2 linked regions of the Coturnix japonica genome follow. The protein of the gene in region 2 interacts with the protein of the main gene of each other region in a biochemical or structural test. Links are inferred from orthologs where the notes say so. Each region holds a gene or a part of one and is shown on either strand. Other genes may lie near its edges.

What was found.
Region 1: the proteins of MC4R (region 2) and POMC form a complex in vitro, tested with the Homo sapiens proteins (2 studies listed by BioGRID). The link is inferred for Coturnix japonica from reciprocal best matches to the Homo sapiens genes MC4R and POMC.

What each region holds. Positions count from the first base shown.
Region 1 is NC_029518.1:96,193,567-96,199,852, forward strand, and holds POMC (pro-opiomelanocortin), read left to right. Parts: upstream 1-1,495; 5' UTR 1,496-1,584; intron 1,585-2,171; exon of another isoform or gene 2,172-2,558; 5' UTR 2,559-2,598; coding exon 2,599-2,727; intron 2,728-3,539; coding exon 3,540-4,163; 3' UTR 4,164-4,404; downstream 4,405-6,286.
Region 2 is NC_029517.1:60,660,753-60,668,477, forward strand, and holds MC4R (melanocortin receptor 4), read left to right. Parts: upstream 1-2,789; 5' UTR 2,790-3,469; coding exon 3,470-4,465; 3' UTR 4,466-4,811; downstream 4,812-7,725.

The DNA of each region.
Region 1 (6,286 bases), on a different chromosome or scaffold from region 2:
TGATGACCTCAAAGGTCTTCTCCAATACTAATGACTCTGTAAGTGGGCACGATGGTGATGGCTTTGCAGCTGAACCAGCCCCAGCTCCAGGAATGCTCAGGCAGCACCTGTGTAGGCCTTGAGGGATCACACCTTGGCCATAAATCCCAGCAGGAAGTACAAGGGAATGTAACTGGGCTCTGCTCAACAGTGCTCGGGGCAGCCCAGGGGCACAGGGCACAGCCTGGAGCCCAAGAGCTGCCCATTAGTAGCATTGCAGTGCTGGGTGGGTGCTCAAGCCCTGGCACAGGGAGTGGAGAGGTGTGGGGGTCCTCCTTGGGGGTGCCCCACAGCCCCTGGCCGTGGTGCTGGGAACCCAACCATCCTGAGGCTCTGGGCTATGGGGAGCTCAGAGGATGGACTCAGACCAAGCTTTGGGGGCTGTATCAAGGCTGGTGAGCGTGGAGGCATTCTTCATCCCAACGCCTCACCTCAACAAAGTTTCCCTATTTCCTAAATAGATTTCTTCCTTATAAAAATAACTGGCTCAGAGAGGCCTAATGAAGATGAAAGAGCTTTTAAAGTGGGAATCATAGCTCCTTTTTGGCCATAAAGCATTCAGAATAGCTCTCCGTCATGAAAATATATTGCATAGCAGGGGATCTGCCGTGGAGGGTGGAGGCAGATAATACAGTTAAGGAATATGAATTGCTTGTGCCACAGAGGTCTCCTGGATCTGGGGGGGAACTGGAGGTCTGGGAAAGGCATGAAGCAAAGTGAAATGGAACCTGTGACGGAGCTTTGTGCACCATCCCAAAGCAGTGATGTCAACCTCATGCACCCCACATCCCACCGCAAGGAGGAGAGAATCCAAATCCCATTGCAAGAGGGGAGCACCCACATCCCATTGCAGGAAGGGAGCATTCTGCTCACCTGCACATTGCTTGGTCTCGGTGTCTGGAGGAGCCTATTGGCAGCTTCTATAGCAATATATTTTACAGCTCAGGTGAGCCCTAAAGAAAATGAGTCTTGCTAAGCCTTGGATTCCTTGCTATAGGAGAGGGATCTGCAGACAAAAGCAGTCCAGTGGAACAGAGAGAACAGAGGTTTGTGCACAAGGAGGGGGCTGTGTGTGCTGCCATCCCAAGTGGTTTCTTTAAAAACAACCCTTTATTCCACCAAAATCCAACCCCAAACCCCCAGCACCCATCGGAGCACGGAGCCCTCCCACACCCGATCATAAGGAACAGATGCCCCTGCACCAAACACCCAGCAAAGCACTTTCCGTCCGACCCCTCTGATCCCGAAAGCAATTAACAGCTTCGCATGGAAAACTTGGCCGGCTGCGGCTGGCGGGGAGATGCTAATCCCATCCACAGCCACATCAGCGCCGTGCTCACTGCTGCTCTGCTTTTGTTCGCTACCTGGAAGGGTCCCTCCGTCCCCACCTTCCCCTCCCTTTCCCACCCCCAACCAAGGGCCATCCAGAGGGCGGCTGCGGCGCGACGCTGGGGGTATATAAGGCAGCAGGGATGCAGGGACGTCGCAGACTTGCTCTCGGGGAGACGGGGACCGGTGGTGGCTGCGCTCCAGCCCAAGCCGCAGGTGAGACCTCAGGGATGCAGCATGGCCCAGAAGGGCTTCTCTAGGGATATGGGAGGGGGAAAACTTTGCAAAATCTTGGTTGCAGTGGGTTGTTTGCATGGTTAGAAGGATGGCAGCAAGGGGATAAAGCACCCTCTTCCCTGAAATGCTTCGTGCATCCCTGCCCCCCAGCCTCTGCCCCCCCTTCATTCTCTGCTTTTTTGGGTTACTGCATGCTGATGTGTTACAGAAGTGGCCCCACAGTTGCAGATCCAACACAGCTGTGTCAGAGCTGGGAGGTTCCAGGCAGCTGCTCCCACGATTTTGGGGCAAAAGACCCAAAAAGCACCTCCACGCCCAAACTCTGCCCACTCTCTATTAAGAGCAGGATGAGATTTTCATTAATTTGCCTATAGTTTTCTATTCTTTGGGATGGGGTTTTCCTCCCCTGGCACTCCCAGGTTGAACCACGTGAGTCCCCACAAAGTTAAAAACAACTTGGGAAAGAGTTGGGTTTGGCAAAAGCAAAGTTAAGTGGATACATCAGCCTGGCACTGCCACCATCACCACAACCCTCACCTCGTCTGGACTCACCCAAAGCAGTCCCTGCAGCACAGCCTGCATCCCTGGCACTTCCAGCGTCTCCCAGAGCGCTTCCCAAGCGATGATCTGATGTTATTTCATGTACCATTTCAGCTTGAGGGGGGTTTGCAGGGGCTGCAGCCTGCAGGCAGCTCCATCATGCTCTCCCCCTGCAGCATCACTCGCTTGCCTGTGGCTCTCAGGAGGGGCAGAAATCCTCATGGCAGCGGCTGTCACCTGCAAAGGCGGGTGTTAATGCAGGTGACAAAGGACCTGGGATTTCGGAGGCAAAGGATGGTGACAGCAAAGCCACAAAAGGCTGGAAGGAGGGGGATGAAATCCCAGCAGAAGCAGCAGCCCTGAATTTGGGCAAATAGTTGTTATTTTTTTTAACTATTTCTTTGTTTCCATAGCGCTCCTCTGCAGTTTGGGGACCCATCCTTGGCTGGTACCATGCGGGGTGTGCTGTGTTACAGCCTGCCTGTGGTGCTGGGGCTGCTGCTGTGCCACCCCACCATTGCCAGCGGCCCATGCTGGGAGAACAGCAAGTGCCAGGACCTGGCCACTGAGGCTGGAGTTTTGGTAAGTGGGAGCGTGGGGCTGCCCCGGGCTTGGTTTGCTTTCTAACCCAAACGGAGGAGGTGATGGGATGCCATCCCTGCTGGGTGACATAGTGTAAGGTTGGAGTGATGCTTTGGGCTCTGTGATCTGAGGGTTTTCGTGTGCTCACGCCTTTTGGCTTCATAGAGTCACAGAATCCTAAAGTGGTTTAGGTGGGAAGGGACCCCAAAGCCCCCCCAGCCTCAACCCCTGCCATAGGGACACCTCCCAGCACATAACTCCATCAAGGTATGGGGCACCCACAGCTTCTCTGTTCCACAGCTTCACAACCTTCATTGTAAAGAACATCTTCACGTTGGGTAAAATCAGTTTTTGGACGGATATCATCCCTCCTACGTGGGATGAATCAGGAAATCAGGGAGTGATGGTCATGGGATGGTGGTCATGGTTAATTCTCTGCAGGGGCTGAGTGTGCTCTGTGGATCCAACGCACTCAATGCTCCCCCCCAGCACCTTTTACATCCCCATAGAATGGGTTGGGTACTCCATGCTCCCCCTGGGGGACACATAGAGTGGCACTTGCATGGGGACGTCACCAAGGCACGCGGCCACAGGTTGGACGTTAGGAAAGATTTCTTGCCCTAAAGGTGATGCAGTGATGCACTGCCCAGGGGATGCTAGGGTCACCATCCCTAAAGGTGTTCCAGAACCATGACACAGCACTTGGGGACACCGTGACTGGGCATGGTGTGATGGGCTGGCAATCAGACTTGGTGATCTTAGAGGTCTTTTCTAAGCAGAATGATTTTACGGTTCCATTTCACCCCATGCAGGCGTGTGCCAAGGCGTGCCGAGCTGAGCTGTCGGCCGAGGCACCCGTGTACCCAGGCAATGGACACCTGCAGCCCCTCTCTGAGAGCATCCGTAAGTACGTGATGAGCCATTTCCGCTGGAATAAGTTTGGCCGTCGCAACAGCAGCAGCGGAGGGCACAAAAGGGAGGAGGTGGCCGGCCTTGCCCTGCCCGTCACATCACCCCACCACCCCGCTGGGGAGGAGGAAGATGGAGAAGGGTTGGAGCGAGAGGAAGGGAAGCGCTCCTACTCCATGGAGCATTTCCGCTGGGGTAAGCCGGTGGGACGGAAGAGGAGACCCATCAAGGTGTATCCCAATGGTGTGGATGAGGAGTCAGCTGAGAGCTACCCCATGGAGTTCCGGAGGGAGATGGCGGCCGACGGGGACCCCCTCGGCCTCTCAGAGGAGGAAGAAGAAGAGGAGGAGGAGGGTGAGGAGGAAAAGAAGGATGGTGGCTCGTACCGTATGCGGCACTTCCGCTGGCATGCGCCGCTGAAGGACAAGCGCTACGGCGGCTTCATGACCTTAGAGCACAGCCAGACCCCGCTGATGACTCTGTTCAAAAACGCCATCATCAAAAGCGCCTACAAGAAGGGTCAGTGAGGGGAGCCCAGCCCACGCGGCCCCACGCAGCTTTAGTGTCCTGCCGCCATGTGTGTCACTTAGATCCACAGATCGCTCGTTATGTTGTTAATTACTACTCCAAAACCCTCCTGCCCCCGACACCAAATGGCAACAGGTTGGGGCTGAACGTACCAATGTGAGCAGTGCTCACGCTGGGTCATTTTCCTATTTTCACCAAGCTGTACAATACTGTAAATGATGGATTAAAAGAATTCTAAAAGAGAAAAAAAAAATTAAATAAAAAGACATATATATATAATTTTTGCAAGCTATCTATGTGTCTGCAGTGTCTCTGTGGCTGTGTCTTGCCAAGGGGTAAAACAAACAGGGACATGTTTGGTGGGACAGATTGATAGTTGGACTTGATGATCTTACAGGTCTTTTCCAACCTTAATGATTGTCATAGAATCATATCATAGAATGGCTTGGGTTGGAAGGGACCTCGAGGATTGTGAAGCTCCAACCCTGACTCCGCCACCACAGGCAGGGCTGCCAACTTCCATATCTACTACTAGACCAGGCTGTGCAGGGCCCCATCCAACCTGGCCTTCAACACCTCCAGGGCTCTACCAGTGAAATCTGGAGTAACTCCAAGCCCAAATCCTGCAGCCGGGGACCAAAAGGCATCACTGGGGCTGTGCATGGGAGATGGGATATATTTCAGTAGAGGTTACTCCCAAGGGATTTGGGCTCCCCCATCCCTCAGCAGCTTCCCCAGTACTGATCTCTCTGATAAACTCATTAACTGCCTATCAAATGGCAACACAGAAGACCCTCAGGTACCAAAGAAAGTGACCTTACCTATAAAGTCATGTTGCTAAACCTGAGGGGTTTAGCATGGTAAAGAGGGGCAATGAAAGCGGGGAGCAGCTGTGGATCTGGGACCATCTTCAAGAGCAAATATCAACTGTGCCAGGAGTAACAAATCCCTACCACCTCCCCCAGCCTTACAGAGAAACCAGGTGCCACGAACGTGCCAACAGAGCTGATCCCATAATGTGGCAACACCAACATTTATTGGAGGGCACGTCTGCAAATATCGACGGCATCTCAGCCCCTTTCACAGCCCCACTCCCCTCCTGCCCTCAACTACACACAGAAACAACACGGTGCCCTGAAATACAGAGATGGAAACGCACACATGCACCTAACTGCTGAGTTTATAGAAATATACTTTGTCATCTATACAGACACCGGTATCTAAACTAAATGTGATGTACAAACAAATCACTTACACTGTGTGTGTGTATCTGCAGAGACATTTACAAGTGGAGTTTGGGTCCTGAAATGTAATGCTGAGCACAGCCAGCACTTGCTTTTGGAGGGGAATAGGGGATGTAACAAGGGAACAGCAGCACTGGGACCAGGGAGACCACACCGAAACCCCCAGCCAGGGGATAAGGTGCAGTCCTGCCCCAGGATCCCTGAGAAGCAATGGAACCCCAGGACGTGACCTGTGCCATCCCCATGGCAGCCAGGTTCCAAGGAGCAAGCCTTGTGCTCATCTTCCCACCTTCCTTGTGAGTTTGAAGTGGTTTGGAGGTGTCATCCCCTCCCCCCCATGCACACACAGTCTGGCGGTTAATTCCTTTTACTACTCCATTTTGCTAAACATTTACTGTTTTTCATTTGCACAGCTATGGGAGTGAATCCTCCTTTGTCAAGCAGCCTCCTTGCATTCCCAATGCCAACTTCACCCAGCCAAAACTCCAGGGGGACTAACGAAATAAAAAGGGACAGGCTGGGAACAAAAAGATGGGGGGGACCCCAAGGAGTGGCTGTGGCAAGGGACAGCCTCAGGCTCTGGGCAGGGCTGGCAAAGCCACACTGCAATCCCAGCCCTGGGACTGAAATAAACCCTTGTTTTTTCTGTCCTCTTAAGCTAGGTCATTTCCTAAACCCGGATTACATGACAGCCACACAAACAAGTGGTAGCCTCGGGGCAACTGCAAACTGCACCCACCACCAGAGTGAAAAAAAAAACAAACCGATGTCAACGTGGTATTACACCTTCAAGTAACTGTCTGAAGAGCTACAGTAAGAAGGGGCAGAGAAAGGAGTGGTCGCTGAAGCAATCCATTGGCCACAGGCAGCACCACTGC
Region 2 (7,725 bases):
TCACATCTGTGTCAGTCTCGATAGAAAACAATACTGTTTTGATAACCTACTTGCTTGGATCTCCCTTCTAATGAGTTTCTTACCATTTCTCCTCTGTTTCTACAGACAGACACTGAAATAGTAAATCTCATCTCTATGTTTCAGCAACATGGACATGGGATTCAAATATTCTCAGACGTTGAATGAGAATGTGACTATGCTAAATCACTCTACCTTTCTTTTTGTTTTCCAGTGGGCCAATGCAGCCTAATTCTGACTCATCTTTTCTTCCTGTGTCTTTATTGGTATATTATGTACTTGGTGACTCCAGTGAAATCTTTCTTCTGAGTTTCAAAAGCAACTGTTGTACAATCACTTGACATTTCAAAATGTTGTGAAGAGGAGATGATGGAAGGTTGATGTTGGAGTATAGTTGGAAATGCAACACAGGACAATGGAAAATTACATAGGAAGAATTCTTAAAATTGGCATTTTGAAAGACTAGTTAAAATAATATCCTTTACTGCATGGCTCCTCATTATATTGAAAGGGGAGGCTAGTATCAAATCTTTATTGAAGTTTCATTTCTCCTAAGCACCGGAGCTTGTGTTAATATATCACCATAATTAGTTTATTTTTTTTCTTCAGACACTGCAGTTTTCTTATGGTATTAAAAATCTCATTACCTACAATGCATGCAAGAAATACTTGCTCAACTTTATTTTTTAAAATTGAAGAAGCAGTTTTTGCATATTACCTCTGTTATCCATCATTAAAAAAAATCTTAAATATTGGTATACTTTCAGGCATGACAGAGTAAAGTTCCTTTGTGCTATTTTAGAATTGTATGGTTTTGCTTTTGTAAAACGGGAGCCGGAGGTATATATCCATCTTCTACCATAGAAATGTTTAGACATACATACATCTTTCCTCATTTAAAGAAGTACTTCTATGACACATTCTACCTTCTAGCCAGGGAAGGCTAATGATTTATCTTTACATTTACTCCCTAGCGATAGCTGGAGATGAAAACAGAGATAATATGTAGAGAAAGGGAAGAGCCAGAAGAGGGAAACAGAACAATGTTTCCTAGAGGCAACTTCTCTCTGCTCTTGCCAGACTCTGCTGAACTGAGTCCACCAAAGTGAGGCAGGGTTAGAAGTCCCCATGCTGTCGGCCACATGAAGAGTGATAGAGGAAGAGATGCTGAGCAGCTGCTTCCCTGGTGTTCCTTGCTGTTGACACACTTCTGGCTTGTATATCTTGGCCGCAGGTGCAGAAAAATACATTGTCTAGTGAGATGCTGCTCTCATTCATCAGTCTTTCTATGTATTGTTGTCTCTGCTCTCCCGTTGTAACTATGCTTTTAAGGGTTATGTACACAAGTCCTATCTAACAGGAGTTACAGATACCAGCCCAGGAACCAGTAGCTAGACAATATATCTTTTTGAGTCCTGGTTTCCATTATGTCTTGGTAGGCAAGTAAGTCTTGCCCTCTCAGCAGCAAACTATTCTTTCAGTGCAAGGATGTTGCTGGTGAATAATGTTTCCAAACTATAAAGATGAGGTTTCCTCTGCCTCAAGTTATTTTGTTTATCACAGCTCTGTGAAGTAATCTATCTGGGAGAGGGCCCACAGACAATTGGCTGAGGCTTTTTTCCTGATACAAATCTTCGTAAGCATTGAACCAAATACAAATATGAAAGTAAAACTGTGCTTCATCCTGATGCTGGGATGTTGAGTACAGATAGCTGTGCTTTCACAGGCACGCTGTATTCTTGTGTCTCTTTGGAGTGTCTCATTTGGAAAATGGCTAATGCATGAAAGATGAAAAATGTTTGTGAAGAATACAGACTCCTGCACCAGATACAGACGCTTTCATAGCCTGTCTCTTAGATGACTGGAAATAGTCATTCAAACCACATGACTGCAAAAATTACACTCAAGTGTAACAAGTGACTCTCACATAGCTTTTGTGACTTTAAAATCCACCTCTACTTTAGGCTTCTTTTCATATATTTGGTTTTCTGTCTTTAATTGCACTTCTTGAAACACTAAAACAACTTTTGTCTCTGTTTCTTTGTGTTTGTCTGACATTCTACTACTTCTTCTCAAGGGCATTCCCTGTCAGGCTGCACTCAAGCTGACTTTCAGCTCATGTCAGGTAAACACAGGGACAGACATTTAGATGGATTTTCCTAGATTTATTCATGACTTGTTGTCATTACCTGTGTCTCAGCCACATTTTGCATAAGCTACAACCTTGTCTCCTGTTGCTTTCCTTCATCTGTTCTAAGTAATGCCTTTTTGTTTGTTTGTTTGTTTCCTGTGCAGCATCCTAATTCCTGATGGTGACAAGACTTCAGGATTCAACTCTGTTATCTTCTCCTTCATGGAAATAAGATGATGAAGAAGAATATTACCTGCGATAAAATTATTTTCTTTAGGAAGATTTATTGGGCTAATTAAGTCCTTTCCCTGTTTTTGGTCATTGGATGGTCTCCATTCCTTAAAAGTCACAAGCAGCGTAGCCAGTAGAATGCAGCCTTACAACACTGTGTCTTGCATGTGGACAACTGAGGCACATAGAAGTTAACAATGCATGGGAGGTCTGAGAGAGAGACAGGAGGACATAAATATTTTCTTGCTTCCTAATCCCTTTTCTGTTTTGCCAGATACACGAGGCAGAGCAACTTTATGCCACAGAAGAGGCAAATCACAGTCTGAAATATAAAATCACATCAGTTCAGCTCAGGAAATTCTGTAAGACTGGTAGTACAGTGCTATAAGGTTGCTAATACAAAATCAGAATGAATATATTATTCTGAAAATTAAAGGAGGAAAATAGATCTCTTGTAGCCCCTCTGCTTGTCTGTTGCTACTGGAAGCTTGTGCAGCATCCAAGTCTGCAGCACTGTGTGATGTTTCAGAGAGGCTCAGAATCAGCAGCCCCTCGACTTTCTGCAGCTCTGAGTCCCATTGGCTGAAAGGCAAAGCAGAGGCGGAGAGTGCAGAGTATTTTTCTCCTCCACACACCATAAAGCAGGCAGCCAGCATGCACTGCCTGGCAGCGAGACTGGTGCTTAGAGTTTGAAATTAGTTTCTCCTCGGCAGCAGTCACTTGAGCATTTTACATTTACCTCTCCAAATGGAAGGGTTAAAAAACAGAGAGAGAGAGAGAGAGAGACCTGCAGCATAATAGTGAACTAAGCAAGAAGTGAACTTAGGGGAGAATCTGATACAAACTTCCATACTGTTGGGATTCAGTGATACAGACCACCGAGATGGATGTGATGGTGATCAGAATCTGCATCTGTGAGAGAGCAAACCAGCATCTCTGAGTTTGAAACCTCATTTTACAAAGTGCTCTGAACTACTATCTGCTTCAGTGCTGCCTTATTTTTCTTTTCTTCCCAAACTGAAAAGGAGGATTTCAGAGGAATGCAAGGACAGTTTTAAAACCAGGAAGCTGAAAGGGTTTCTCCATAAGATGAATTTCACCCAGCATCGTGGGACACTCCAGCCTCTCCACTTCTGGAACCACAGCAACGGGCTGCACAGGGGTGCCAGCGAGCCCAGTGCAAAGGGCCACTCTTCGGGAGGCTGCTATGAACAACTCTTTGTATCCCCTGAAGTGTTTGTGACTCTGGGCATCATCAGCTTGCTGGAGAACGTTTTGGTCATTGTGGCAATAGCCAAGAACAAGAACCTCCATTCGCCTATGTACTTCTTCATCTGTAGCTTGGCAGTGGCTGACATGCTAGTGAGTGTATCTAATGGATCAGAAACTATTGTCATCACGCTGCTAAACAATACAGATACAGATGCACAGAGCTTTACCATAAACATTGACAATGTCATTGACTCAGTGATTTGCAGTTCCCTGCTTGCATCAATTTGCAGTCTCCTCTCAATAGCAGTGGACAGGTATTTTACTATCTTTTATGCCCTCCAGTACCATAATATCATGACGGTCAAGCGCGTAGGGGTCATCATCACATGCATCTGGGCTGCTTGCACTGTCTCGGGCATTTTGTTCATCATTTACTCTGACAGCAGCGTTGTCATCATCTGCCTTATCAGTATGTTCTTCACCATGCTCATTCTCATGGCATCCCTTTATGTTCACATGTTCATGATGGCTCGAATGCATATCAAGAAGATAGCAGTTCTTCCAGGGACTGGCCCCATCCGCCAAGGGGCCAACATGAAAGGGGCCATCACTCTCACTATACTGATTGGAGTTTTTGTTGTGTGCTGGGCCCCATTTTTTCTGCACCTCATTTTCTACATCTCCTGCCCCTACAATCCTTACTGTGTGTGCTTCATGTCCCACTTTAACTTCTACCTCATCCTTATCATGTGTAATTCCATCATCGATCCACTTATCTATGCATTTCGGAGTCAGGAGCTCAGGAAAACATTCAAAGAAATTATATGCTGCTGTAGCTTGAGAGGGTTTTGTGATTTGCCTGGAAAATATTAGACTGACGAGGGTAGGTTACTGTGTATTCAGAATACAGCATGGTCTTCTGAGCCATTAGAATCTTTTTCTTCATCAGAACTTGGGTAACATGTTTAAGAGCAAACACTTCTTTTTCTCTCCCTTCCCTCCCATCTTTGTATCCCATTTATGTGTAATTCATATTTCTGTGTAGTGTTTGTGATGTCTACAGTTTGTGATTTACTTGGCTGGGAACAGAATAAAAGTAGCACTTTATAGCAGTTTGTGTTTAAATAAATGTAATGCTGATTGTGAAATACTAAGAAATACGAGCAGCTGTATGTTCCAACTGCTGACAAAATAAAGAATTTGTCTGAGTTACAGTGCATATTGGTTGACAATGTTCCTTATTCTGCTGATTATAGCTATTCATTATGTTACGTGCAACTTAAAATAGAGCTTATGCTTCTCAATTAGTGTATTAAAGGTTCACTAGAATCAGGAGGCAGATTTTTCATGAAGATTACTGGAATCAAGGAGTTGTGTTCATTTATTTTATGTGCTTTTCCTTCTACTCCAACAGCAGCAATCCTGTTCTTTGTTACAGCTATTGCCTACAACAACGGGATTTTTTCAAATACTTGCTAGCCAGGCAATTGAAAGCTTGTTTTATCTTGGTTTTCAATATGATGATTGCTGTGTGTCTGAAAGTGCCTTTTCACAAAATTGAAATTGAATTTGAAATTGAAATTGAACACTCCCTGGAGCATCAGTTAGCACTGGATATATTTAATAGACTGGAGTCCAGATAGGCTGTCACCCTCCGTTCACTCATGAAGAAGGTGCAGTACTAATACTGATAGTGCTGGCACCTGTGTAAAGCTTTGCAGTGAGATTCAGCTGATGATAATGAAGAAGGGATATCAGCCTTAGCATTCAGTCCTTATTCTGATGTTCTGTGGTGAACAGGGACTCTGTTCTTCGGAAGAAAATATAGCTTTCCTAGAAACAAGCTGCTCTCTTTTCTGAAGCATTATTAGATGGGATCCACTGCCTGGATTATTACAGAGGAATGAAAGCAGGTATCAACTTGGGGCCACCTCAGGCACCACTGTGGACCATGCAATCTTGTCTGGACAAGAAGGCTGGCAATCTGATAAGTGTCTAGATCTATGCTTTGTATCTGGCAGCCCTGTGTGTTAGTGCTGCTTGAGGACAGTTCACCTTTTCAGACATCTAATTTAGATGTTTAATAAGCAGGTCCCTGACTTAAGCACCTTGAAAATATTTAAAATGCAGATAGAGGTACACAAAAGCCCATGAAGACATCCTTTAACAACTTGACAACAACAGCTTCTATGTAAAAACATAGGAAAATCAACTTATTTATTCTTGGTAAGTATAAAAATAGAGCAGTAACTGGAAAAGACCTGGAAAGTTTCGACATGAAAAGTAAAACTTTAATGTAAAGAATAATTTACATTTAAGCCTGGATGTTTTATTCTACCAAGATAAACAGTGAATTAGTGAGATGAAAGTTGTGCTTCTTATTTCCTTCGGTTAGCCCAAGACATTAAAGGCAGATGTTATGGCAACAGAAGTTGAACTTTCCAACCAATATTCCATTGCATTTAGTTGATGCCTGACAGAATGGTGTCTGACACAGAAGTGCATATGAATCAAAGGGGTGAAACTGCATTTCTCCATGAGGAAAAAATTGCACCCGCTGACATTCATTGGTGCTTATTGAACATACATGGAGACCAAATGGTGAATTTGACAGTGAAGAGAAGGGTGGCACATTTCAGCAGTGGAATCAGCAGTATAAATGTGACATGAAAGACAAGCCATGTTTTAGATGGCCATGCACATATGTCACCACAAAATGAAGAGTGCCTCAACCAGCTCATCTACCCAGACTGGCTGATGGTGGTGACTGTGTTGAAAAATCACATTTTGTAGCTGAGAATTTGCTCTATCAAATAGTGTTACTGTGCTCTTTGTAACTATTGTAGATTCCATTTGGAGTGACCTACACACATTAAGACCACTTCTGTGTGTATGTGTGTGTGTGTGTGTGTGTGGAAACTATAAACTTTTCAGTAATACATCTCAACCTGGTTCTACCTGTTAGGGAATAAAAGATGCCAAAGTAGGAGGATTAATGCTCAGTGAGGGGGAACATGTGAATGTATTAAAATTAATAGGCAGTCCAGAAATCTTCTTGAATCCTCTTGGACTTTATTAAAAGCACTTCTTTCTCCCGGAAGACACGATGCTAGCTATGCAGAAATGCTCTGGCAACAACACAAGAAATTCTGCTGCCTATCTGAAAAATCTCTGTTGATCTTTGTTCTGCCTTATGCTCTGTAAATTATGATAGCAGGTGCCAGAGATTTGTTTTGTAGCCCATGGATGCATACACAGGCTAGCAGAAGGCGGAACAAGATGTTACTTCAGGTGCTCAAAAAATTACCTTGAAAGTAACTCTTTCTCTCCTTTGGCTATACGAGCACTTGATACCTAATTTAAACAAATACGAATGCTGAAGAGGCTATGAACTCTCAGTTGATTCCTAAAAATAAGAATCTTCTGCTTTGAATCCAAAGAGGAGAGAATTAAGTTTTTTTTTTTTCTTTTAATAGCTGTTGGGGGTTTTCATCAGTGGTTTTCTTGTAGTGTCCAAAATCTTCTGCAACTCTTTTTCATTTACCTGTACTAAGATTAGTAAAGAGAATTTTGACCCCTTTAATATCTAAATCTCATTTAGAATTATATGTTTAAGAACTAGCTTATTGCAGAATTTTATCAACTTTAAGACTGCTTGACATCTCTTCTGTCTTCATTTTATAAAGCTAAATGTATATACCTGCTTTTTAATGGACTTTAATTTAATTAAAGACTTCTTCAGCTCACGGTATTATCTCTCGAGTGCAATTTATTGAAATTGCTGGCAAACCTGCTATATAAATAATTTTTCTATTCCCAGACAATTTTTTCCTTCTAAATATCTGCATCAGTTTCTGTTTGCCTATAGATCTGGCACTTTCCATCAGGGAGTCATAGAAATTAGTGTTGCAAAAAGTAAATATATTAATCTAGTTTGCTGGAGAGTGATGAAAGTGGAGGATTATTTTCCTCACTCAATTTTCTGGAGCTTTGTCTTTCTGTTTCAAAATATTCTAAGAAAATTAATTTTCTGTCTTTAAATATCTGGGACACTAATCCTGTCAGCACTTCACAGTTTTATTATGTTGGGTAACCATGACATTCCTCTGTGGCAAAGAAAAGATTCTGTCTCC